Linked DNA regions of Pelodiscus sinensis. The protein of the gene in region 1 interacts with the protein of each later gene in a biochemical or structural test. Links are inferred from orthologs where the notes say so. Each region holds a gene or a part of one and is shown on either strand. Other genes may lie near its edges.

Region 1 (7,908 bases):
GACTGATGCAAAGAAATCATTTAGCTTTTCCGCAATGTCTTTATCAGCCTTGATTGCTCCTTTTGTATCTCGATTGTCCTGTGGACCCACTGGTTTTTTAGCAGGCTTCCTGCTTCTAACGTACCTAAAAGCATTTTGTCATTGTTTTTTGAGTTTTTGGCTAGCTGTTCCTCAAAATCTTTTTTTGCTTTTCCTATTACAGTTTTACACCTAATTTGACAGTGTTTGGCTACATCTCAACTGGCATGATTTTCCGGAAATGCTTTTAACGGAAAAGTTTTCCGTTAAAAGCATTTTTGGAAAAGAGTGTCTAGATTGGCAAGGACCCTTTTCCGCAAAAGCACTTTTTGCGGAAAAGCGTCCATGGCCAATCTAGACGCGGTTTTGCGCAAAAAAAGCCCCGATCGCCATTTTCGCTTTTGAAGGGGAAGGAGCACTCTCATCCAGCCTGGCACCTCAGTGACTCCCGTTTTTGTGTGTCCTTCTGCGTGTGGTCAAGGCTGCTCCGCAGAGTCATCCACCTTGCCGATGCTGACACGGTCATCGAGAGGTTTGGCGCCCTGGGCTTCCCCAACTGCAGGGGGGCTGTTGATGGGACACACATCCCCATCCATGCCCCGGAACACCAGGCCTCCCTCTACATCAGCCAGAAGGGATACATTTCCGTTATCCTGCAGGCTGTCTCTGACCACCTGGGCCACTTTATGGACACTGATGTGGGCTGGTCCGGCAGAGCACATGATGCGTGGGTCTACCTCAACTCCTCTGTGTGCCAGAGGCCACACACCGGAACTTTCTTCCCTGACCACCACATCAGGGTCGGAGATGTGGACATGCCTGTCTGCCTGGTGGGGGATGTGGCCTATTCCCTACAGTCCTGGCTTATGAAGCCCTACATGGGACACCTGAACCCTTCCCGACAGGCATTTAATGCCAGGCTCAGCAGGGCCCGTATCATAGTGGAGGGTGCCTTTGGCCAGCTGAAGGCCCATTTTAGATGCCTCCTCACCCTCCTGGACCTCTCAGAGTGGAATATTCTGCATGTGGTGGCAGCGTGCTGTGTGCTGCATAATTTGTGCAAGGGAAAGGGGGAGGCTTTCCTTCCAGCCTGGATGGCAGAGGCCGATCACTTGGCCAGCCTGTACATGCAGCCCCACATGGCTGCCATCTGGGAGGCCCATCAGGAGGCTGTCTGTATCTGGGAGGCCCTGCGGGAGAGCTTCTACCTGAATGAGCACTAAAAGACTCCCTGGTGTGCCCCACTGTGGGCTTGAGCCTCATTCCTCTCTCATGTCCTTCCATGGACCCGTCCTTAACCCACCTTCCTGCTGTACAGTAAAAGACACATGTATTCAAGAAAACAAACTCTCTTTATTGAACAAAACTGGGGTGGGGGGCATGAAACTCAGGTGAGACTGGGCAAAGAAGGTGGGAGAGGAGAAGCGAGAAGGGGAGGGGGAAATGTGGGAGGAGGGAGTTGGAAGGGGGAGACAAGGGGAGGAAGGGGAACTGCCCCCTGTGGCCCTGGCATATGCCTGCCGCAGCGCCTTAATTTTCATCCAGACCCGATCCTGGGTTTGGATGTGGCCTTTGGTGGCCAGGCTGGCAGCCATCCGGCTGTAGACGGCCGTGTTCCTCCATCTAGTGCAGAGATCATGGAGGTTGGAGGCATCCCCTCAAACCTCAGTCAGGTCCATGATCTCCGCACTGGACCAGGAAGGCGCCCACCTTTTCAGGCCCCTGGCAGGCTCCTGAGAGCTGGCAGACTGGTCCTGAGGAGTGGTGAAGAGATGGCTGCCAGTTGCTTGCTGGCTCATGTTTGGGCCACTGGGTCAGGGGCAGCAAATACTGGCTCTGGGCTGGCAGGCCAGGAGCTAGCACAGGCACTGTGGCCAGACTCTACCCCTTTAAGGGCTCCAGGGAGAAGGGGAGGAGAGGAGTTTTCCTGGTTGGGGCCAGAGTGGCCAGCAGCGACTCTGGGAAGGGCTGGAAGCCCCCTATTTTGAAATAGCCCCTTTTCCGTGTCCACACAGCGCTTATTTCGAAATAGCAATTTTGAAATTGACGCTATTCCTAGTAGAATGAGGTTTACCAAGTTCAAAATAAGCCCTCCGCTATTTTGAATTAATTTCAAAATAGCAGTTGGCTCGTGTAGACGGTAATACAGTTATTTCGAAATAACGGCTGGGATACCCTCTGGGAATTAGCTTTTTGATGCTGGAGTGCCCCCTTCTGGCTGGTGTCTCCCCATGTCTCTGCACTCTGGGGCCCCCTTCTGGCCAGTGTCTCCCTGTGTCTCTGCACTTTGAGGTCCTCCCCCCGGGAACCTCAACCCCCTATGCCCTCCTTCCCTCAGTGACTCACTGCCAGTCTTCATCTAGCCCCTTACCTCAGGGGCAAGCTGCAGTCTGATAATTGGCAAGGGGGGTGTGGACCTGCTGCCTTTGCCTGCCCTTTTCTGCTTACCTGCTTCTCTGCAGCCCTAGTACACTCAGGCCTTGCTACAGGCTCTGCCACCTGGAAGCTTGCCTGGCCAGAGCTCCCCACCTTGCTTGCCTTTCCCCAGCCCTGCACTAACTACAGCCCTAGTATCTTCAGGCCTTGTCTCAGGCCCTGTGGCTTGCGAGTGAGGTTCGGCCAGAGCTCCCCAGCTCTGCCTGCCTCTTCCCAGCCCTGCTCTGTCTCAGGAAGCCCCCAGCTTCCCTTGCAGCCAGGTCCCTCCTTCTCCCCAGCTGGAGCAAGAGTGTCTCTGTGTCCTCCCTCCAGGAGCCCTTATTTATACAGCCCCAGCTGGGCCCGAATTGGCTGCCATATGCTTCCGCTGCTTGCTCCACAGCTCCAGCCCTCTTCCAGGGCTGGGTTTTAGCCCTTAAATAACCAGTGCAGGCAGATGCCCCCTCACAACCTCCATAACTAAATTTGAGTTAAGGTTGCCAGATGGTCTCCCAAAAAATACCGGACAAGTGGTATTTTTTGGTCGAGCAAAAAAAAAAAAAAAAAAAAAGAGGAACAAGGGATAATAAGCCCTCCCTCCTCCCGTTCTGGGGCACCCAGAGAGGCAATCACAACCCTGCCTCCTAGCTGGGACTTCCAGGCTGGGAGGCGGGGCCACGATTGGCGCTGGAAGCCTGTGATTGCACAGAAGCCTTGTGGAGGACGGGGAGGGGCTGGGACTCCCAGCCATTCCCCCCGCCCCTGTCAGGCTTCTGTGCAATCACAGGCTCCCAGCGCCAATCGTGGCCCCGCCTTCTAGCCAACCCCCTGCCCATGCCAGGTTTCCGTCCAGTGCACATCCGGAAAATTCAGAGTATACCGGACGTTGCACATGCCCGGTATTCCCTGATGTTGTTTACTGGACAAAGAGTGCAAATACTGGACTATCCGGTAGAATACCAGACACCTGGCAACCCTAAGTTGAGTTCCTAGAGTTCCTACACACACAGTAATGGAAAACCTTTGCACTGTCCTCCAACTGTCCCCAGGAGAGACATCCTGTGCAAACCTTATGCCATATACGGGTCATAAATACAGAGCTGAGGACAGAAATGCCAGTCCCCTGGAAAAGGGAGTAGGGGCTCAACACAGGCATCTCCAGGAATGGGCAGGGTAGGGCCTTGGGTGGGAGGTGCAGACTGGTAGTTAGTCTCCCTCCATCGGCCCTTTTTGCGCTGCCCAGACTGCATGGTTTGGGATGCCGGCAGCCATTTAAAAGGGCCTGGAGCATTGCAATGGCAGGGAGCCTCAGAGGCCTTTTTAAATCACCAGCCCCCCCAGGGCAACTGCTCCCTTTGTCTGTCCCCCCCCAGCAAGCTGGAGTAAGCATATGAGAATGCCACACTGCTAATTATATGGAGATATACCTATGTCATAGAGCTAGAAGAGACCTTGGGAGGTCATCAAATTGAGTCCAGTGCTCAGCCCTCATGGCAGGACCAAGTGCCATCCCTGACAGACTTGCCCCAGACCCTGAAATGGCCCCCTCAGGGATTGACCTCACAACCCTGGGTTTAGCAGGTCAATGCTCAAACCTCTGAGCTATCCCTCCCCCAATTGCTAAAATTAGACCTGAGAATCAGAACAAGGATTCTGATGTGTGCATTGTAATATGTTCATATGATATACGTGTACGGGAGAGAGGGAATCAATGTGACATTTGAGGCCTTGAGTTGTGCTAAAGAAGGTTCCCTTAACTAGGCATTTTCTTGGTTTTCAAGGGATGGCACAAACTGAATCCAACCCCCACAGCCTTTTCTGGTGGTGGGAATATAGATGCACATGTGTACATTCCCACATAATTCTCCACAGCCAATGTACCAGTCTACTGGTATGGACATCTCATGAAAAAAACCCAACACGCTCCCCAGATTAAAGCATGCAAACTAGAGCTCATAAGGATTACAGTTATATTCAGTAGGCAGCATACTTCAAATGTGTTGCTGTGCTTCCTTGTTTACTTATTTAGATTCAGATAAAGGAAGTGGTGAGACTGAATCGCTGACAAGTTTTCTGAGAAGAGACCATTTTGTACTTAGAGGAAGCAGTTGCTCTCTTGGATATTGTTGCACCATAACTCAGAAATAAAAAGCAAGACGGTTTAACAAAAGCCTGGGGCATTTATTAGGCAAGTGGATTGTTGAATTTACTGGAGGTAGCCACAGGCTGGAAATCTATGGCTCTCTCATTAATACTCCTGGCATGAAAATTCTGTAGCTGATTAGGAAAGAAGAACAGAAATGGATTTACAAAACCTTCCCTATCGCTCAATGGTGATTGCTTGGAGCCCAGATGACCTGGCAGACTACTTCAAGAAAGTAAGTTGTGTTGTGTTTTGTCCTAGTATGGAGGAGTAGCAAGGTGCTTTAACACTTCTGTGCTCTTGCTCCCTCTTCCCCCCACAAAAAACTTTTTACCCTAAGAGCCGAATTTGCTACATACATCATATAAAATCATCTTTTTTGAATAATCATGGCAGATGCACTTCAGAAAGTCATTATACCTGCCCTGGTTTAATGAAGTCCTTAATGAATCCTGAAAAATGTATTCTAAATTAATAGCAAGAGAAATCAATTGTTTCTTGGGAAAAAAAAATGCTATAATCTTTGGTACCAATGCCTTGCTATGTTACATTCAGTTTGGATCCGTAAAAGTTAAGAGTTAAGGAAGCTAAACATAGTAAACCTATTTTTTAAGGTAGGAAAGTTTTATATGCAGATCTCATAAGGCCTCTCCAATGAAATTATTCCTATGACTTTCATAATTAAAGACCCTCACTAATGAAGATGCACACATGAACTCTGCTCTGGACTGAATTGCTTTCCTAATTAGCATTACAAAGGCTTGTTATGTGACAGGGCTTGGTTTAAAATCGATAGTGTTTAGCAGAGGTGACATTCTCAATCTACGGGTCGCTCCAGACGTTCCAATCTTTTGAACAAGGATGTCAGAGCAAAAGAGCTGCTGAACCTGGTTAGGTGGACACACAAAAGAGTTTGTTGGCATCTGGACTGGGGTTTTTAGAAGGGAGTTGGGTGCCCAGATTCAAGGAGAGTTGATCTGAGTCATGGACAGCCGTCCTTTTGAAGTGAGGTGATGAACTAAGACTCCCATGCTAGCTGGAAAATGAGACCTGGAAGCGATTTTGTCTGGTTGAGCTCACACAAACAATGCAGAACACTTCCTTGTGATGTTGTAGTTGGGTGAGGAGGACAGGAACTGTGCCTAAGGAAAATGATTCCTTTGTAGCATAGGGGGAGAAATGAGAAACATTCTTTCCTCCAAAATAAATAGAATACATAGAATATTATCCCTTCCCGAGCTCAATGCAGCTGCTTTTATTTGTAGATTGCCTGTGTTGATATTTTGTCTTTGAAATTGAAAGCCTTTACCAATAATAATATCCATAGCGATAATCATAATTCTTTGGAGAGGCAGGTTTCAATAAAAAGAGATTCTGCTACCCACTGCCTCTTCCTGCCTCAGGATCCCCACTGACCTTCCTCCACATCTCAGAAAGATCCCTCATCTCATTTCCTCATCTGTTCTGTTCTGCTGAGGTGGTTGGGCTTCTGACACTTCCCCCCTTCTCTATCTATAGCTTTTCCTCAAATGCACTAGCCTGGATATTGCTGGTTCTTTTAACTTTCACTTTGCAGAGCAGAGGATTTTGCACGCCGAGGTGTGGAGGGGCATTTAAAATGGCGTATTGGGGTGCATTTGTAGGAGCATTGCCAGCAGAGCTAGAGAAGTGATTATTCCCCTTTATTCCACACTGGTGAAGCCACATCTGGAGTATTGTGTTCAGTTCTGGGCCCCACTACAGAAAGGATGTGGATGCATTGGAGAGAGTCCAGTGGAGGCAACAAAAGGGATTCTGGGGCTGGAGCACATGACCTATGAGGAGAGGCTGAGGGATTTGGGTTTATTTAATCTACAGAAAAGAAGAATGGGGGGAATTTGATACAGGGCTGGCCTTATCATGAGGCAAACTGAGGCGGCCGCCTCAGGTTCCAGACTGTGTGTGTGTGGGGAGGGCGGTGCCACTAGGACTCAGAGTGTAGAAGGGGGTGTCACTAGGACCCAGAGTGTAGAAAATTGTCTCTGCTGCCGATGCATATGTAGATAGCAGAGCAGTCCCATGAGAGAAGTAGAACAGGAAGAAGGCAGAATTGAGACCTTTCAAAGTTTTGGCCCACGCGAGGGGACAAGGAGGTGTTATTTGAGCTCCCCGTCTCAAGTGCCAAAATGTTGTGGGCCAGCCCTGATTTGATAGCAGCCTTCAACTACCTGAAGGGAGTGGGTCCAAAGAGGCTGGAGAGAGGCTGTTCTCAGTGGTGACAGATGACAGAACAACGAGCAACAGTGTCAAGTTGCAGTGGGGGAGGTCTAGGTTGGATCTTAGGAAGAACTATTTCCCTAGGAAGATGGTGAAATACTGGAATAGGCTACCTACTGAGGTGGTGGAATCTCCATCCCTAGAGGTTTTTAAGTTCTGGTTTGACAAAGCCCTGGCTAGGATGATTGAGTTGGGATTGGTCTTACTTTGGGCAGGGGGCTGGACTCAATGACCTCCTGAGGTCTCTTGCAACCCTGGGATTCTATGATTCTAAAAGAATAGGCAAAACTCAGTGCTGATTTGCTCCCTGGTATCTCACTGATGCTAGGAAAACTGCATAGGCTATAGGTAAATGTTGAGTTTGGTCCATTTTTACAGCATCTTAAATATATTCAGTTGTACATTCATTTTCCATCATTTCCCCCAGATTTTAATAGTCATCTACACTTACTTGTGTTACCATGCTGACTATAGTGCATGTTCACAACAAATTCCAAAACCTTCATTACAGTGCAGAAAGGTCAATCCAAAAGGTTTGTGAAGACTTTCGCACCATTTCAGCAACCCAGTTTCAAGTGGATATGATCAACCGGGGACAGTTTATTATTTGGTATTGAAACCATGCAAAATTCATGGTTTCAATCGCTTTCACTGGGTTTCGTTTGGGGGAGCTGGGACAAGTTCAAAACCAAAATGCAAAGTGGAGTTCATGGGTAGCAAAGGCACACAGATCAAAACCAAAGCAAACGTTCGCTGGTGGGCCTGAGAAGTGAAACCACCAACTTTGCAGTGTTCTAGTTCCAACTGTTTTGTTCCTGCCTAGCTGTGTAGTAGAAGGAAACCAAGATCTTGAGATATCTTAAATTAGACAGATCTTATCATTACTGAGAACTAAATTTAAATCCAAATTCAGCAGACTAATCAGGAAAGCACATATCTTAACTGGTGCACAGGGTTTTAGATCACCATTAAGAGGAAACAACCAAGTGAGGTGAAATGGCTTCCTGATATTATCTATCATACTTATATATGCCCCCCGCTACTGTAATATCGGAGAACCTCATACTCTTTAGCAT
Region 2 (8,450 bases), on another chromosome or scaffold:
CTGGCTGGTCTGCAGCCTTCCAGACGCATCCCTCAGGCATGCTCCGAGAGCCATTGTCCATCAGCAGTGCTAGCTAGCACAGCCAGTCACTGACCAGTCCTTCCTCCTGGACAACAGGCAGTCCAGGCCCATGGCTCCCTCCCCGACAGGGAACCAGTACAGAGCCCATATTCATAACTCCACAGACAGACGTCACCCAAGCACAGGCGTGTCACACATCGAATCAGCAGAGCGTACGCCTCCCTTTGACACCTCACATGGACACTTTGTACCAAATTGGGGGCACCCCCCCGTGGGTGCAGCCGTGACCTGTCCACTCACTTTAAAACCCAATCACGTGACACACGCGTAATCTGCTTTGGCGAGGAGTCCTGTGGCACCTTCTAGACTAACGGAAGTATTGGCGCATAAGCTTTCGTGGGCAACGACCCACTTGTTCACACGCATGTTAGGGTGCTACGGGACTCCTCGTTGCTTTTGCACATTCAGACTAACACGGCGACCCCTCTGATACTTAATCTGCTTTGCTATTCCAAACACTTCCTGACTCTCAGAGCTCCCCGTGCCTGTGTGCTTCGGCGCCCCAGGCTTGAAACAGGCCAGAAATCTGCACTGTGGACAAAGCAGACATCACCATGTACTGCCACGGCAGGGTAGTGCAGGCTCCCCCACATACACGCACCCCTTGGGGGTATGCAGACATCTTCCAGAGGGCACATCAACTCGCCTAGGTATTTGCCTACAGCAGGGGTCTCCAACCCTTTTAAGCACAAGATCACTTTTTGAATTTAAGTCAGCCCAAGATCTACCTCAAACCCAAATACCCCTGCTCCACCCCTTCACAGAGGCCCCGCCTGCCTCACTCTGTGAAGATGGGGGACAGGAGAGGGGGACAGAGAGACATCAGTGCCCCCTGCCTCTGTCTCCCCCACCCTGTACCACAAGCAAGAGGCTCCTAGGGGCAGCTCTGAGGCTCTGGGCAGGAGCAGCATGGCAGTGCGGGTAGGGGCAGCTGAAGTGCTAGTGCTTGACAGCCTCTCAGCCAAACCAGTCAGATCCCCTGTCAGAGGCTCCAAGATCGATTGGTAAATCCCGATCGACTGGTTGGTGACCACTGGCCTACAGGCTACATAAGAAGCACTCTCCAAGCTAGCACGAATGAAAATTTCATACAGAGCATGACTTTTTTACACTCTAAAGGCTACGTCTACACTGGCCCCTTTTCCGGAAGGGGCATGTTAATTTCAGCGATCGTAATAGGGAAATGCGCGGGGGATTTAAATATCCCCCGCGGCATTTAAATAAAAATGTCCGCCGCTTTTTTCCGGCTTTTAGAAAAGCCGGAAAAGAGTGTCTACACTGGCCCCGATCCTCCGGAAAAAGCGCTCTTTTCCGGAGGATCTTATTCCTACTTCAAAGTGGAATAAGATCCTCCGGAAAAGGGCGCTTTTTCCGGAGGATCGGGGCCAGTGTAGACGCTCTTTTCCGGCTTTTCTAAAAGCCGGAAAAAAGCGGTGGACATTTTTATTTAAATGCCGCGGGGGATATTTAAATCCCCCACGCATTTCCCTATTACGATCGCTGAAATTAACATGCCCCTTCCGGAAAAGGGGCCAGTGTAGACATAGCCTAAGGGTATGTCTACACTTGCAGCCTATTTCGGAATAGAGCTGCAAATGTAGGCATTCGGAATTGCAAATCGAGCCATGGGATTTAAATATCCCATGGCTGATTTGCATCTTTCCGTCTGGGCACCATTTTTTGAAATTTACTAGCCTGGAATAGCTGCCCGCGTCTACACGCGGCAGTGAAACGGGTGTTCGAAATAAAGCCCTAGTTTGAACTACCTGTTATTCCTCCTGCAATGAGGTTTAACAGGTAGTTCAAACTAGGGCTTTATTTCAAACACCCGTTTCACTGCTGCATGTAGACACGGGCAGTTGTTCTGGGCTTGTAAATTTCAAAAACGGCGCCTGGCCGGGAAGATGCAAATCAAGCACAGGATATTTAAATCCCAGGCTTGATTTGCAATTCCGAATACCTACATTTGCAGCCCTATTCCGAAATAGGCTGCAGTGTAGACATCCCCTAACTGAAATGTAAGTACAAAATGTATAGAAGTCCAATTGATTTTTAAAATAATTATATGGTAAAAATAAAGAAGTGAGCAATGTTTCAGTAACAGCATGCTGTGGCACATTTGCATTTTTATGTGTGATGTTGTAAGCAAGTAGTTCTGAAGTGAGGTGTAACGGGGGAGGTATGCAAGACAAATTGGACTCCTACGTGGGGTACTGTAGCCTGCAAAGGTTGAGAGCCCTTGTCCTCTACTACCATGATATTTCCCTGGCTTCCCATTTAGGCTTCCCGTTAGCTTAAGTGCAATTTGGCTTGGAAGCGGAGAGATCTGGGGTAGGACGTTCCGAGTGGGGAGGGCATGCAGCGTGGCTGTCCTGTGTGCAACGTTAAACCGTTAATATAGATGAGTGGGAACAATCTCATACTGCTGCAGAATGAAACGTAAGACAAGAAATCCCAGATTGGAAGCTGTCAATAGAACCCCGTGAGGGGAAGGGGAACAACATTCAGGGGCAATCGGTTCATCAGATGCTTTATCTTCTATTTCACCTTTCGCTCGGCCGAGGATCTGAAAACACGTTACAAACCTCTCTGGGCACGTCTAAACAGCAGGGCTAAAGCTGGAATCAGCCACAAAACTTCAGCTAAGTCCAAATAGCTCATTTCGGCTTTTGGTGCTGTCTACAGAGCAGGAAGTCCGAGTTAGCGCCCTCTTCTGCCAACTTCCCTTCCTCCTCGCACAGTGAGGGTTACGGGAGTCGGAGTGAGAAGTCGTCCAGCTCGACATCATGTCGAAATAACGGCTTGCGGTGCAGACGCGGACTCTGGTATTTTGGAATAATGCTGCTGTGTAGACGTAGCCTCAGTGGATTAACCCTCCGACTGCTATGCCTTGATGTTTCCCACACCTGCACCAAGGGACGGCCCGAGGTATTCTGGCACCCCGGGCATGGGCGCACGGCGCTGCCCCTGGGGCTCACAGCGTATGCGCGAGCTCGCCCTTGGGGAGCGGGCCCACCTCCCTAGGTAGCGCAGGCTCACCCCCTGGGGCGCACGGCGCATGCGTGGCCTGGTTACAGCTGCTGACGTGCAGCCCGGGCCTGTCCCTGGGGCCCATGGCACATGCGCGGCCCGGCTACACCCGCTGGTGCACAGCCCAGGGCCTGCCCCTAGGGTGCACAGTGCAAGCGCGGCCCAGTCTGGCCCAGTTGTTGCTGCTGGCGCATGCACTGGGCCATGTAGGGCCCTGCGGCCATAGAGGGGAAGAGCGTTGCTGGCCGGCACCGCGGAGATGTGGGCGGGCCATCACTGCGGGAGTTGGGCGCGCGGGACGCCGCACGCCCCTTACAGCTGCCATCAGGCACCCCCCATCGGTTGGCGCCCTGGGCAGCTGCGCGGCTCGCCCATGCCTCCATCCAGCCCTGCCTGCACCCTGTCTTCACAGGGGACACCCCCCAGAATCACCCTCCAAATCTAGCTGGGATCCAGCTTGCACCTGTCTGAGAAGGGCAGGGAGGTTGTGATACCTCCCTCCAGGTTCAGTGAATCTCAACCCCTGCCCTTTAAACAGGCAGAAACCACACCCGGGAGGAGGCCGACCACGCTGGTGCCAGGAAGGCCCAGGCAGGTTTGCACACGGAGGGAGGGACTATGTGACCACTGCCCTCTTGTGAGAGCCATTCAGAGCTGTGCTTCCCTCTAGGGCGGGGGGGGGGGGCAATAATTTTTGACAGGGGGCCCTCCAAGAATGTGGACAGTGGCCGAGGGCTGCACCCTTCCATGATATGAATGGAGGAGGTGCGGGGTCTGGGATGGAGGTCGGGTGCAGAAGGGAGCTTGGGGTAAGGGAGGGAGTTTGGGTGAAGGGGGCAGTTGTGGCCTGGGGCACTGGACTGGGGGACTGGGGGCTGGATTGTGACCTAGGGCAGGGAATTGGGGTACAGGAGGGGATGCAGGGAGTTGGGTTGTGAGCTAGGGACTGTGATCTGGAGCAGGGGATATGAGTGCAGGAGGGGGGCAGAGGATTTGGGTATGTGGAGTAGAGGCCAGGAGTGGGGGGCTGGGGGTTGGGGAAGGGAGGGCCTGGGGTGCCAGAGGCAGAGTCTGGCCACGAGACTTACCAGCCAGCAGCCCATTCCTGAAATCAGCCTCCCTGCCAGCCAGTGTTCCCTCTAATCTGCGGGAGCAGCCCAGCTTCATGGGTGATTCATCAGCCTCCCCCAGTTAGCCCTGAGCCTCTGGCTGGGCAGGGCTGATTAATCCCCTCTGAAGCAGTTTAGAGGGACCACTGCCACCTGCCCCGCCCCCACAGGCTGCAGCCATGTGCTCTGGAGCCCCTTGTGCTTCGTGGCTGCCTGTTATTGAAACAGGCCACTCCCCTTGGCTGGTTTCTGGCCAGACACCGGATAATGGCATTGTGCTGGGGATGGTAGCAGCTGCTAAAGCTTCCCCCTCCCCTCCAGACTCTCAGTTTTTAAAGAAAAACCGCCCAGAGCGGCGGTTTGGAGCGCGTGCGGGTGGGGCGAGGCAAGCAGGAGCCTGCCTGGGGCAGAGTCCATGGGCTGGATCCGATGGCGGGGCAGGCCGGATCTGGCCTACAGGCTGTATTGTGCCCAGGCAGCTCTAATGGCAGGAGGCCGAGGAAGCGGACGGACTCCAACATCCGCGTGCAGCTCATGGCGTGTCTCCCGAGGTGCACTGGACCAAAAGCCAAGGCCCCACTCCCCCAGCCCTGCACTTGCTTAGGAGAACCGAGTTTCTTTACCTCCCTCATTTGAGGTTGTCCCACCGCCCAACAGGCAGCTATGCAACCAGATCAGGCGGGTTCTGAGAACTTTTGCCCCCTTCAGAGCTGCAGAGTTTTTCTCTCGTCTTTGCTTTCCTGTCTTTGCAACAAGGAAATAGGTCACATTTCAAACAGCCCGTACGCGGGGGTTTGTCAATGTCAGTCAGCACAGGGGACAGGACGTGGCCCGTTTCCCTCCTGCTCGCTTCCAAAAGCGCCACGGCACATGCATGCCCGGGAATATCGGTCCCTCTCACCATGCCTTTGATGTAAGGGACCAGCCGAGCCCTTCGCCCCGTCTGCAAGCCCAGGTAAGCTGCCGTGCGGGACTCGCTCGGTCCTTCATGCCGCTGCTGGCGTCCCTTCTCTTCTTCTTTCTATGCATCCTGAGCGCGCCGGGGGCCTGCTGATGGCCACAGCGCAAGGCCTGAGTCTAAATCCAGTTGTGGGCCCAGTTTTGCCCAGGGTTACTCTGGATTTCATGAGCGGAACGGAAGACCAGAGCAGAAGAAAGCTGGGGGCAGTTAGACTCATGATGGTGGTTAAATGGTCTGACATCCTGTTCGCCAGGGCGGCTCAAACTTTTCCACCCCCGGAGCCACCTCCAGAACCTCTCTCCCAGCACCCGTGGCCAGGGGGGATGTAGCCAGCACCCCTGGCCCCTGTTAGCCACATGGGAAGGAGAGCGTGGTTAAGCTTCCCTGACATTTACGAACCCCGTCAAGTACAGAGCGGATCAGGGCCAAGTCTCAGCGCCCAAGACGCCCCACAAGACAGGCTGTTGGCAAATTTTCACCATTCCCCTTTGTTCCTTTGTCATCCATGTCATCTTGCCCTGCACTTGTCTGGCAAACACGGGCACCACTGCAAAGCCCTGTCAGTCTGGGCATGGTCCGGGGGGCTATAGAACAAAGTGGAGCAAAGGAAATTGGAGCCTTTTTTAATGGCCAGATCTGTCAGAGGGTGGACAAAGCCCCCGAGGGAGGCTCTGGAGACCCCACCGCGTGGGTCAGCTGTAAGCAGATCAGGACAAAGAACGGGAGAGAAGCGCAGAGGGAAGGGCTCTGTCTTGGCCGGGAGCAGGGGTTAGGTGAGCTCGAATATTTGCCACCTCTGCCTGATTTGTGTGTGTTGTCAGTTCAGTCGCCTTTCTCCCCCGGGGGAGGCTCCTCTGTGGCCCACTGGCATTGTGTTCATGCTTTGGCCTCGCAAGTGAGCAATCCGGAACGTCGGAGCAAACAGGCTCGAAGCCGCGGTCGAGTTCCGTCTTAGCGTGTCCAGCCGATGGGCTTGGCTTTTTCAGGACCTTGGGACCCTATAGGCTGCCTCTCTCCGCTGCTGCCTCTGCGCACCAATGGAACGGGCCTGGGACCTGTTACGAGCAGTTGGCCCACTGGGGAGTTAGCCTGGAAACTGGATGTGCCTGGGACACAGGTTAAGAGTCATGAGACTGAGGGATTTGGGCTTGTTCAGTCTGCAGAAGAGAAGAGTGAGGGGGGATTTGAGAGCAGCCTGCAGCTCCCTGAAGGGGGGGTCCAAAGCGGATGGAGAGAGGCTGGTCTCAGTGGGGGCAGGTGGCAGAAGAAGGAGCAATGGGCTCAAGGTGCAGTGGGGGGGGGGCTAGATTGGATATTAGGAAAAACTATTTCCCTGGGAGGGGGGGAATCTCTGTCCCTAGGGGTGTTTAAGTCCCGGCTGGACACAGCCCTGGCCGGGCTGATGGAGTTGGGGCTGGTCCTGCTTGGGGTCTCTGCCTGCCCTGGGGCTCTAGGTCAGGCTTTGCGCTGGGTACGCCAGGCAGCCCTCGGGCAGCCAAGGTCTGGAAAGGTCGACTTGGCTCCAGCAGGGCAACAAATCTCTTAGCAAGGGCCCCCCGAGCCGGGCCAGTCGCGCAGGAAGCGGAGAGCCCAAGGCCTGGCCAGGCCCTGGAGCCAGAACCATTTTGCACCTCGGAGGGCAGAGCTGAGCCGTTTCCTGGGGAGAGAGGAGGGACGCTGGGACTTGCTGCTGCCCCGCCGGGTGAAGCCCTATGGCAGCGAGGGGCAGGGCAGCGGCCAGAGTCGGTGAGGCGGGTGCGGAATCACCGACGGGGGAGTGCCGCTGCTAACCCCGCTGCCCTCACGGAGCGCGAGCCAGACTGCGACCCGCGGCCCGTCCAGCGACCTCGGCGGCACGTCGCTTTGTTCCCCGGGTGCCCGTCTCCCCCGTTCCTCATGGCTCCTTCGTTCATTTGCAGGCTCTGGTCAAGCTCCCGTTTGACAGGGTCTAGACGTACCAAGCGGGCAGGGTAACCTCACGGCCTAAGGGCAGCGCTGCAGAGTTCTGAAGATGGGGGGACGGGAGGGGTTTGTAACAGAGCAAAAGGCCACGGCGGCTCCGTGGAACGCTCTCGCTCGTGGCCTGTCAGTGGCAGGGTGTGTTTAGACCAGACTCTGCTGCACGGCGCTTGGGGCTTCGGGCTTCGCTGCTGCCCGATGGCGCACGCCCAGGTCCAAGCGAGGTCAGTCTGGAACGCAAGCGGGAGGGGGGCGGGGTGAACGAGGTTCACGTGGCGTCTTCTCCCAGCAGGAGAAAAGGGGATCGAGCGGCTCCCTCGGAAGGACAGCTCCTAGGGGAGGGAGGGCCAGTGGTTAGAGCAGCAGCCTGGGTTTCAGGAAGCCAAGGTCCAATTCCCTGCTCTGCCCTGAGCGGCCCGAGGCACAGTAGGAGAGAACAGCCCTGCATTGCCCTCCAGGGCTGCTGAGAGAGCTCGGGAGGTGCTTGGCTCCTCCAGCGACGGGGCCGGCTACATGCCCGAGAGACGTCTGCCTTGGCCAGCACAACGGGCCTTTCACCGCGCAGTGCGTGGAACCCGGGCGCCCGCGCAGCCATGGCGCCTCCTGCTGGTCACGCTGGGAATTGGCACCCTCAGCGCTGGAGCGCCCCTCCGGCCGGGTTCTGCCACCTGACAGTAGGAGCCGCATCCCTCCCAGACCACGGCGCCCCCCCTCGGGGCACTGACCCCCCCCAGAGTCACCCCGCAGGGACCCCCTATCCCCCTGTCACCGAGGGGTGGGGAGTCCCCGGGCCCTGCCCCCCCAGCCGCGGCCAGATGGGGCTCTCAGGTTTCTTAGTTCTCAGGGACACAGCGCAGCTCAGACTTGTCAGCGCAGGGACCAGACGCAGCCAGTGCAGCCCAGCTTGGGGGGGTCCCAGCCCCCCCCCCGCATCCTAAGCCAGCCGAGACTCACCCCCACACCCAGCAACCGGCCCCAGCCTGCAGGCAGCCCCGCCCCCTCCTCTGTGCGGCTCCCCAAGCAAAAGGTGTCACCTGCCCCCCCCCCAGGTGAATGTTACAGTGAGCCTGGACCACTGATGGTGCCAGGCTGGGCAGTGAGCCACACCTGGAATTCCCATCCCCATCTAGATAGCGATGCAGTGCTCAGGGAAACCGAGGCACACACACATAGGACAGTAGAAACCACCATGCAACAGAACAGAGCGAACATAATCCCCACTTCATCACGCCCCTGCACCCCCCTTGCCTCAGCGACCCGCTGCCAGGCATCTAGGCAACCTGCAGTGGCCACTCATCATAGGCAAGGGG
Region 3 (8,139 bases), about 33 Mb from region 1:
GGGCAGGGGCTGGGGGCAGGGGTTCAGGAAGCAGGCTCTGGCTGGGCACCGTTTCACTGAGACGGCTTCCACGTGGTGGAGCAGCAGGGCTAAGGCGGCTCACTCCCGCCCCGGCCCTGCACTGCTCCCCAAAGCAGCTGGCACGTGCAGCAGTGACTCCATGGAGCCATGCGCTGCCCCCATCTACAGGCACGGAGCCCACAGCTTCTACTGGCCCCGGTTCCCCATTACGGACCAACGGGAGCTGCAAGGGCGGTGTCCGCAGGCCAGGCCACCATGCGGAGACCCCCTGCTCCACATGCCAGCCCCGTCCAGGAGCAGCTGTTCCCACGGGGATAGGGACTCCAGCCAGGGCAGGTTCGGCATTTGAGAACTCGCTGCTCCAAGAATTACACCGGCGTGTGAGAGAGAAATGAAAATGATGAAATGCACCGACCAGTCAAACACCGAAACTATCCCCCTTTGCGAGCAGTAACAACCCCCCGCCTGTGTGTTGGGCCGGGAGAGGAGAGGGAAGGATGGTGTGCGTGTGTGAGAACGACAGACGCACACAGGGTGTGAGAGTGACAGATTTGCATCGTCAAGCTCCCTCCATCCCCGTCTGACTGTGTGGAGATAGGGTACAGGAGTGGAGGGAGGAGGGACATCCTGACACCAGCGCCCCCCCCTTCTCTCTCCACACCAAGCGGGAGGCTGCCGGGGGGGCAGCTCCAAGACAGAGGGCACCGTGACCGCGTGGGGAGGCGTAAGTGACGTGACAACGCTTGAAAGCCAAACCAGTCAGGATCCCCTGTCTGAGCTCCAAGATCTACCAGTAGATCCCGATCGACTGGTTGGTGACCACTGATCTAGACAGTGCTTGGTCCTGCCGGGAGAGCAGGGGACTGGACGCGAGATCCCTACCACGTCCAGGGTTCTATGACTCTTGGGGTTCATTTTGCCTCCCTTTCCTCCAGATCCAGGCCGTATCCAAATCTGGCATCTCCTCCTCCTCAGCGTCTCCATTATTTTCCCTCCCATACCCTTAGCCAAGCCCCCACTTCGGACCTTCCCTCAACCCCCTTGGGTCTGGCACTATCTCCCTCTTTGGGCCATCCAAAGCCGGCCTATTTACACCATGCAAGCTGCGGCTGCCAGCCTGCCTGCAGACATGATCTCATCGCCCCTCTCTTCCAATCGCTCACTGACGCCCCAGCTCTTATCGCACCAGAATCAAGCTTTGAAAACACGTCTGCCCTCCCCATCTACCACCCTCGTCACTTCGCCCCCCACATCCTCCCCGCTCCTCCGGTGTTATTCCCCTCAGCTGCCTGTTTATCAGCTTCTCGCCTCTTCTTCTGCCGGCCGAGGTGGGCCTTCTCTTCCAGGCCCCTGCCCCGCCCACATGGGAGTCCTTCTTGAAGATCCACTTTGGCCACTGACAACCGTGCCTCTAGCTGTCCCTCACAGTCATTTTTCAAAGGAAGCCAGATTTCTACTTCTCGCTCTTCTCTCTCTGCAGTCAGAGCATGATGCGCCTCATGGATGTTCCTCCCGGCCTGTCAGGACCGCATCTCGTATGTGGTGGGGCCTGGCCGGAAACAAATTCGAAACGAGGCCAATAAGTAATCAGAGCTAGCCGCGTTATGGCACCTCCGGGCATGGGAGGCCTGGTTCTGATCTTAGGCTGCCTGTGGAAATCAGGAGACGGTCCAGTGAGGTTACTGGAGCTAAAACACCCATGAGAACAGAACCCGGCCCAAAGCCAGTAACAGTTCCCAAGCGGTCATGTCCGCCAGTCCTAGTTCTCTACAGCCTTAGCTGAGAGTCAGCCGGTTTTTAGCTCAGGCTGTAGAACAGGGCTGGACAAGATGCGGCCTGGAGGCCAAATCCAGCCCACCTCACACTTCAATCCGGCCGTGGGCTGCATCTGGCTGCTTTCTATTTATCTCCTGCTGCCTGGGCCACCAAACGTCCAGGAGGCAGCTCAGGCAGCAGGATCCTATTTAAATGGCTCCCGGCTCCCACTTGGGGTGCTACCTCGGCAGAGGATAGAGCCACAAGCCCTTTGCTGTGTTTTTAATTCAATGCCCCCAGCCCAGATAACTCTGGGGGCTAGTCCCCAGCCCCGCCCCCTCCACCTCAGGCCCCGCCCCATCTGGGGGTGGAGCCAGCCCATGACCATGCATTAAGTGGCCCCCTTACGAACATTATTGCCACGCCTGCTGTAGAGGGTCATACTCTAAGCTCCAGAGGTCCCAGTTTCGGTTCCAGCTGTCGGCGTTACACCTAAATGACAGAAAACCTTGGGGGTACATTTCAGACTCTGCTACATATGGGTGTATGATACATTATGGGCATATACTCTGCAGGCACAAACACCAAAATAAGCAGTTTGAACCCTTGCCTTTGCATAAGCATTACAACTCTGTAACACGCAGGCAGGTATTTACACCTATAAAGCAGGGGTGCAGTTGTGTGAGATGCACCACGTTGCAAATCAAACTGAACATTTGGCCCTTGATTTCTGTCTCGGCGCCTGACATGAAATTCACCCTTTATATCAGTGCTGATTCTGCACATACATTAAATAACATTGCCTCTGGAGTTTGCAGACAGCCTAAGGGTATGTCTACACTACCGCCCCAGTTCGAACTAGGGAGGCTAATGTAGGCATTCGAAGTTGCAAATGAAGCCCTGGATTTAAATATCCTGGGCTTTATTTGCATCTTCCCATCTGGGTGCCATTTTTAAATCCCCTTAGTCCGAACTAACTGCCCGCGGCTACACACGGCAGTCAAACATTAATTCGAACTAAGGACTTAACGTTAACTCGAACTAAGGAGTTAGTTCGAGTTAACGTTTGACTGCTGCGTGTAGCCGCAGGCAGTTAGTTTGGACTAATGAGATTTAAAAATGGCGCCCAGACGGGAAGATGCAAATAAAGCCCGGGACATTTAAATCCTGGGCTTCATTTGCAACTTCGAATGCCTCCATTAGCCTCCCTAGTTCGAACTAGGAGGATAGTGTAGACATACCCTAAAAGAATAGCTCAAAGAGAGGTATGAACTTTCCCCATTCATCACAATTTGGTATTAACTCTGGAACCTAATGGTGCCATTTTAAAAGTGAGCATTGCTCAAATGATCTACAGGCAAATAATGGCCAAGAGCAACCAGCACAGTGCTTATCCCACAGCCCTAATTCAGAGTTAAATTCAGAGGCAGAGTAAAATTAATTGCAATTAATGTCAAATAAAACAGTGGATGTTGTACTGATTGTATTAGTCACTTCCACATTAATGTAACAAAACCTTTCACTTTTTCTTTAAATTCACCTCAAACTGCCACCGATTTTCCAGTCCAGCCACAGTGCAGTGCTACAGAAATGAACAGCTCTTGATATAGCATTTAGGTGTACCTTTGCCACAGATTACATGGACTTTGATACACCTAGAGCATGTATATTCTGCCTACACTTTCTTGGAACATTCACCCACAGACTGCCTTCCACCCGGCCACATCTGGAACATTCAGCAATTAGTAAGCAGTTATGTCATTGCGACGCCCCCTGCCTCAGTTTCCCCAAAGCGCTTTGCCATCTACTGACAAAACGCACTACAAAAGAGCTCCGTGTTATTAGTATGAATAATCATTAATGACAATATTGAAAAGATATAAATAAACTTCATTGGTATGGCATCTCATAACACATATAATGAATGTAACTTCATTTATACACCAGCTTTTAATTGCTCGGATCTGCAATTTGTCAATGCCTACACGTCAGAGTCTTTGTAGTTACATGCTACGTGTCTTTGAAATATAGGTTGGACTTCCTTGGTCCGGCACCCTCAGGTTCCGAACCAGGGAGTTTTCCGGACTAGGGAGGTCAAGGCTCCCTTCCCAGCCATCAGACCCTCTGGAATGCTAGCCCCGATCACTGGGCTCTGCTCCCAGCCTCGGATGGGGCTGCGTTCCCTGCCGGGCTGGCCTGGGTTGTACTCCTGGCTCATGGCCTAGTGAAGGCTCTCGGGCACTGGACCAGAGAGTGCCGGATTTCAGAGGTTCAACCTGTACGTCAAACAAATGACACTAAGTACAGTGCATGAGGTGAGAGATAGGCTGGAGGTAACACAGACCATACCACCCGTCTGTACAAGGAACGTGGATGTATGAAATCCTCCCCAAAGCACGAAAAAGATGCTGTTTCGTTATATCCGAGTCCACCCTGAGCAGACATCCCTATATTTGCTAAGAGCGGGTTGAGTGGGCCATTATGTAATCATGCCACAACTTTTAATTAATCCCCGAGCCTTTACAGAAAAATCACATTTGTCAAGAGCGCCCATCACATTTTCATTTTTTCCACAACATTCGCCGTAGAGTATTTTTCAGCATGTGCTGTTCACTTGATGACTTGGGAGAGGATGTGGTTACGGTTTTGACAGAAAGGAAGCGCTACAGTGCTGCCTAGATGACAGACGGAAAGATAAGGCTTTGTGCACCTACGCTGCCTTTCAAACACCTTTTTTTTGTTGAAAAAATCAACTGCCCTCTTTCTTGTTTCTCTTTTCTGGACTTGTGCTTGGAGTGCGGGTCTGGGACCGGCGTGCGGGGTCCGGGAGGAGCGCCGTGCCCTGCCGAACCATGAATAATTGTGTTCTCCTGGAAGAGCAGCTGATCAAAAAATCCCAGCAGAAGAGACGGACCTCTCCCTCCAACTTCAAAGTGCGCTTCTTCGTTTTAACCAAATCCAAGCTGGCTTATTTTGAGCATCGCCATGGGGTACGTGAGCCATTTTCTCTCTCGTTTTTTTGCAGGCTCGTGAGTCGAGAGTATTGAACGGGAGGGGGGAACAGTGTATGCTGTGAAATCCCATGCGCCCAACATCTACTTAAACTAGCTACTGGTGGAGGGCCCTCCATGGCATTCTGTGCCCACCCAAAACTTCCCCATAGGTCAGTGGCGGTTTGGCGTGTCGAAGGAATGGAGGATCAAACCTGGTTTGAGCAAAGAAACGTAGCGCGGTCTGAATACCTGCCTCCCTCCAAGATGCCTAACTGACTGTGTACTAGGCAATTCAAATGGATAGTGCTGTAGCTCGGGGCATGTTTTGATCAAAGTTATAAAGTTGGGTAACAGGGATTCTCGCCATACGTTTTAATTGCATATAGAAAATCAGACCAAACAAATTGGAACTGGGCAGACACTCAGCTCCAGTAGAAGGATGGTTCTCTGCATGACGGACTCCATGTTTGTTAATCAAAACTCTCGAGGTCAGGTTCTAACGGGGTCAGTTGTTTCGGGGAGTAGGCTGTAGGAGGGGGTCTGATATTCAGATGCACTCAGACTAAGCACATCTCAGATGCCTAGCCCTGAAACTATGAAAAGAATTAGAAGCTAATGTGTGTTAGCAACCTTTTATGGGTGCTTTTATCAAAGCAAAACTCCCATCGTGTCTCCTTTTGTGCATATGGAAGCACACAACTGGCTGGAGCCACCCGTTGTAACCTTACTCAGTTTGTTTGCCAGGGTCTACAAACAGGGACATCAATACACGACTTTAAGGGTGTATTGCTGCTTGTAAGTGTTGTTTCTCTCCAGTTGCACTGCCATGTTTCTTTTGAATTTGTAAGAATCCATTCAGGCACCATAAAATGCATGTGGTTTATTTTAAATACTATATTTAAATTTTTTAAAATATATTATTGCAATCCAAGATGTATATTTTCAGTTTGACTGAGAGTGTCTATTCTGTGGTCCAAATGTCGTCATTTGAAGAGTTAAGATGTTAATACAACTACGTAGCCTAGTAAGAATGGGAACAATTTTCACAAGTGCCTAATTGATTTAGGAACCTAAGTCTCTCTGGGTCTGATTTTCAAAGACATTTAGTTGCCAAAAGTTGCAGATAGGTGTTCTTCAAAATCCCTCTATGTGCTTTACTTTGGTGCCTAGCTCCCTTTAACAGGCACATAACCTGGCTTGGCACTTTTGAAAACCCCATTCGGCATTTATCTGCATTTGGAGACACCTAAATACCTTTGAACATCAAACCCACGGACTTTGAACAGGACAGCAGCGTGAAAGTCACTTCAGTGCTCTAGAAAATTATACCCCCTTGTGCCCTAAATCCTAATGAGGCAAAAATGGGACGACGTATAGGGCCGTAACAAGCTACATATCTAAGCAAACTTGTCAAAATATGTCCTTGTACCATTTACAAACATCGGAGTGTGCCAAGATAATTGCAGCGTATTTGGCATGCACAGCGGACGTGCTTCTTTTACCTCAAATGTAAATGTGCCGAACCAGAGCAACGGCGGAGTAACTTGTCATAGCTTCATTTAAGTCAATAACACTGTCCCCTGAAGTAAGTGAGTTAGACTAGCTGAGGAGTTAGAACCCTAGAACTGGAAGGGACCTTGAGAGGTCATCAAGTCCAGTCCCCTGCCCTCACAACAGGACCAAGCACCATCTAGCTCATCCCTGGCAGGTGTCTGTCTAACCTGCTCTTAACTATCTCCAGCGATGGAGATTCCACAACCTCCCTAGGCAATTTATTCCAGTGTTTAACCACCCCGACAGTTAGGAACTTTTTCGCTATGTCCAACCTCAACCTCCCTTGTTGCAGTTTAAGCCCATTGCTTCTTGTCCTATCAGCAGAGGCCAAGGGAAACAATTTTTCTCTCTCCTCCTTGTAACACCATTTTAGGTACTTGAAAATTGCTATCATGTCCCCTCTCGGTCTTCTCTTTTCTCTAAACAAACCCAATTCTTTCAGTCCTCCCTCATAGCTCATAGATCTTTCATAATTTTTGTTGCTCTTCTCTGGATCCTCTCAAATTTCTCCATCTTTCCTGAAATGTGGTGTAAAGAACTGGACACAGTTGGCCATTGTCTATCACTAGGTTTGTCTCCTGGAGGCAGGTATATACAACATGCACACAGCTATACCAGTAACTGTAGGACCTGATACTCCACTGTGTAGCATTGGGTTTGTGCCAGTGTAAATCGTCTTAGCAGGTCCATTATATTAATAAACCTCCCTGGTGCAAAATGAAGATAGGAGTGCAGATAAGGACCAGTTAGCCCTGAAGTATGAACTCTTTTGCTTATCTATGACAGTCAGAGCAGGTAATTCTGTGCAGGCTTCGGCATTGCCTCATTGGTCTCCAATCTGGTGGGACAAGCTCTAGGGCTGAGAAGGTGGCTCATGCTACCCACCCTTTTGGTCTTCGCTTGTCTCCTGAGTCTTCCAAGGGCCGGGCCGACACCACCACTACTTTTCACCGGCGGTAGGAAAATGTGGCTTTAGCACCCTGGCTTGACATGATGGTTTCCCAGTCTTCTGAACTCAATGTGAGGGTCTCTTTGGATGTCCATTGTAACCCTCTGGTGGTGCATATGAGCAGAGATTTAACATCTCTACAAACCTGGCCCAAAGATCGACTGTGTTAGTTCATTCCTTTCTCTGGCCTTACCATGCACCCTGGTCCTGGTCCAGCCAAGAGTTGAAGCTCATGCCTGATCTTGAAGCAAAGCACAGAGAGCAGACGTGGTAAGTGCACAAGTGGCCCCACGGATTCCAGTGGGACTGCACACACCTGGGCTGTGTCCAGACTCCATGCCTCCATCGACGGAGGCATGTAGATTAGCCAGATCGGAAGAGGGAAATGAAGCCGCGATTAAAATAATCGCGGCTTCATTTAAATTTAAATGGCTGCCCCGATCTGCCGATCAGCTGTTTGTCGGCAGATCGGGAGAGTCTGGACGCGATGCCCCGACAAAGAAGCCTTTCTTCATCGACACAGGTAAGCCTCGTGAAACCAGGTTTACCTGTGTCGATGAAGAAAGGCTTCTTTGTCGGGGCATCGCGTCCAGACTCTCCCGATCTGCCGACAAACAGCTGATCGGCAGATCGGGGCAGCCATTTAAATTTAAATGAAGCCGCGATTATTTTAATCGCGGCTTCATTTCCCTCTTCCGATCTGGCTAATCTACATGCCTCCGTCGACGGAGGCATGGAGTCTGGACACAGCCTTAATGTTAAACCCGCATTTACGTTGTGCTGGTCTGAGGTCGGAGGAGCTAGCCCCTCAAAGTATCCTGCCCTGTTTCTGTAGGACAAGCCTCCCAAGTCTAAAAGGACATTGAG

Evidence for each region.
Region 2: of the proteins of LCP2 (region 1) and ZAP70, one has a biochemical effect on the other in vitro, tested with the Homo sapiens proteins (2 studies listed by BioGRID). The link is inferred for Pelodiscus sinensis from reciprocal best matches to the Homo sapiens genes LCP2 and ZAP70.
Region 3: the proteins of LCP2 (region 1) and ITK form a complex in vitro, tested with the Homo sapiens proteins (2 studies listed by BioGRID, with this or other methods). The link is inferred for Pelodiscus sinensis from reciprocal best matches to the Homo sapiens genes LCP2 and ITK.

Annotation. Positions count from the first base shown.
Region 1 is NC_134727.1:6,090,461-6,098,368, forward strand, and holds the start of LCP2 (lymphocyte cytosolic protein 2), read left to right. Parts: upstream 1-4,481; 5' UTR 4,482-4,733; coding exon 4,734-4,811; intron 4,812-7,908. UniProt on the Homo sapiens protein: Adapter protein primarily involved in signaling pathways within T-cells, as well as other immune cells such as platelets, mast cells, and natural killer (NK) cells.
Region 2 is NC_134729.1:26,548,089-26,556,538, forward strand, and holds the start of ZAP70 (tyrosine-protein kinase ZAP-70), read left to right. Parts: upstream 1-4,971; 5' UTR 4,972-5,175; intron 5,176-8,450. UniProt on the Homo sapiens protein: Tyrosine kinase that plays an essential role in regulation of the adaptive immune response. Regulates motility, adhesion and cytokine expression of mature T-cells, as well as thymocyte development.
Region 3 is NC_134727.1:39,218,351-39,226,489, forward strand, and holds the start of ITK (tyrosine-protein kinase ITK/TSK), read left to right. Parts: upstream 1-4,464; 5' UTR 4,465-4,628; coding exon 4,629-4,766; intron 4,767-8,139. UniProt on the Homo sapiens protein: Tyrosine kinase that plays an essential role in regulation of the adaptive immune response. Regulates the development, function and differentiation of conventional T-cells and nonconventional NKT-cells.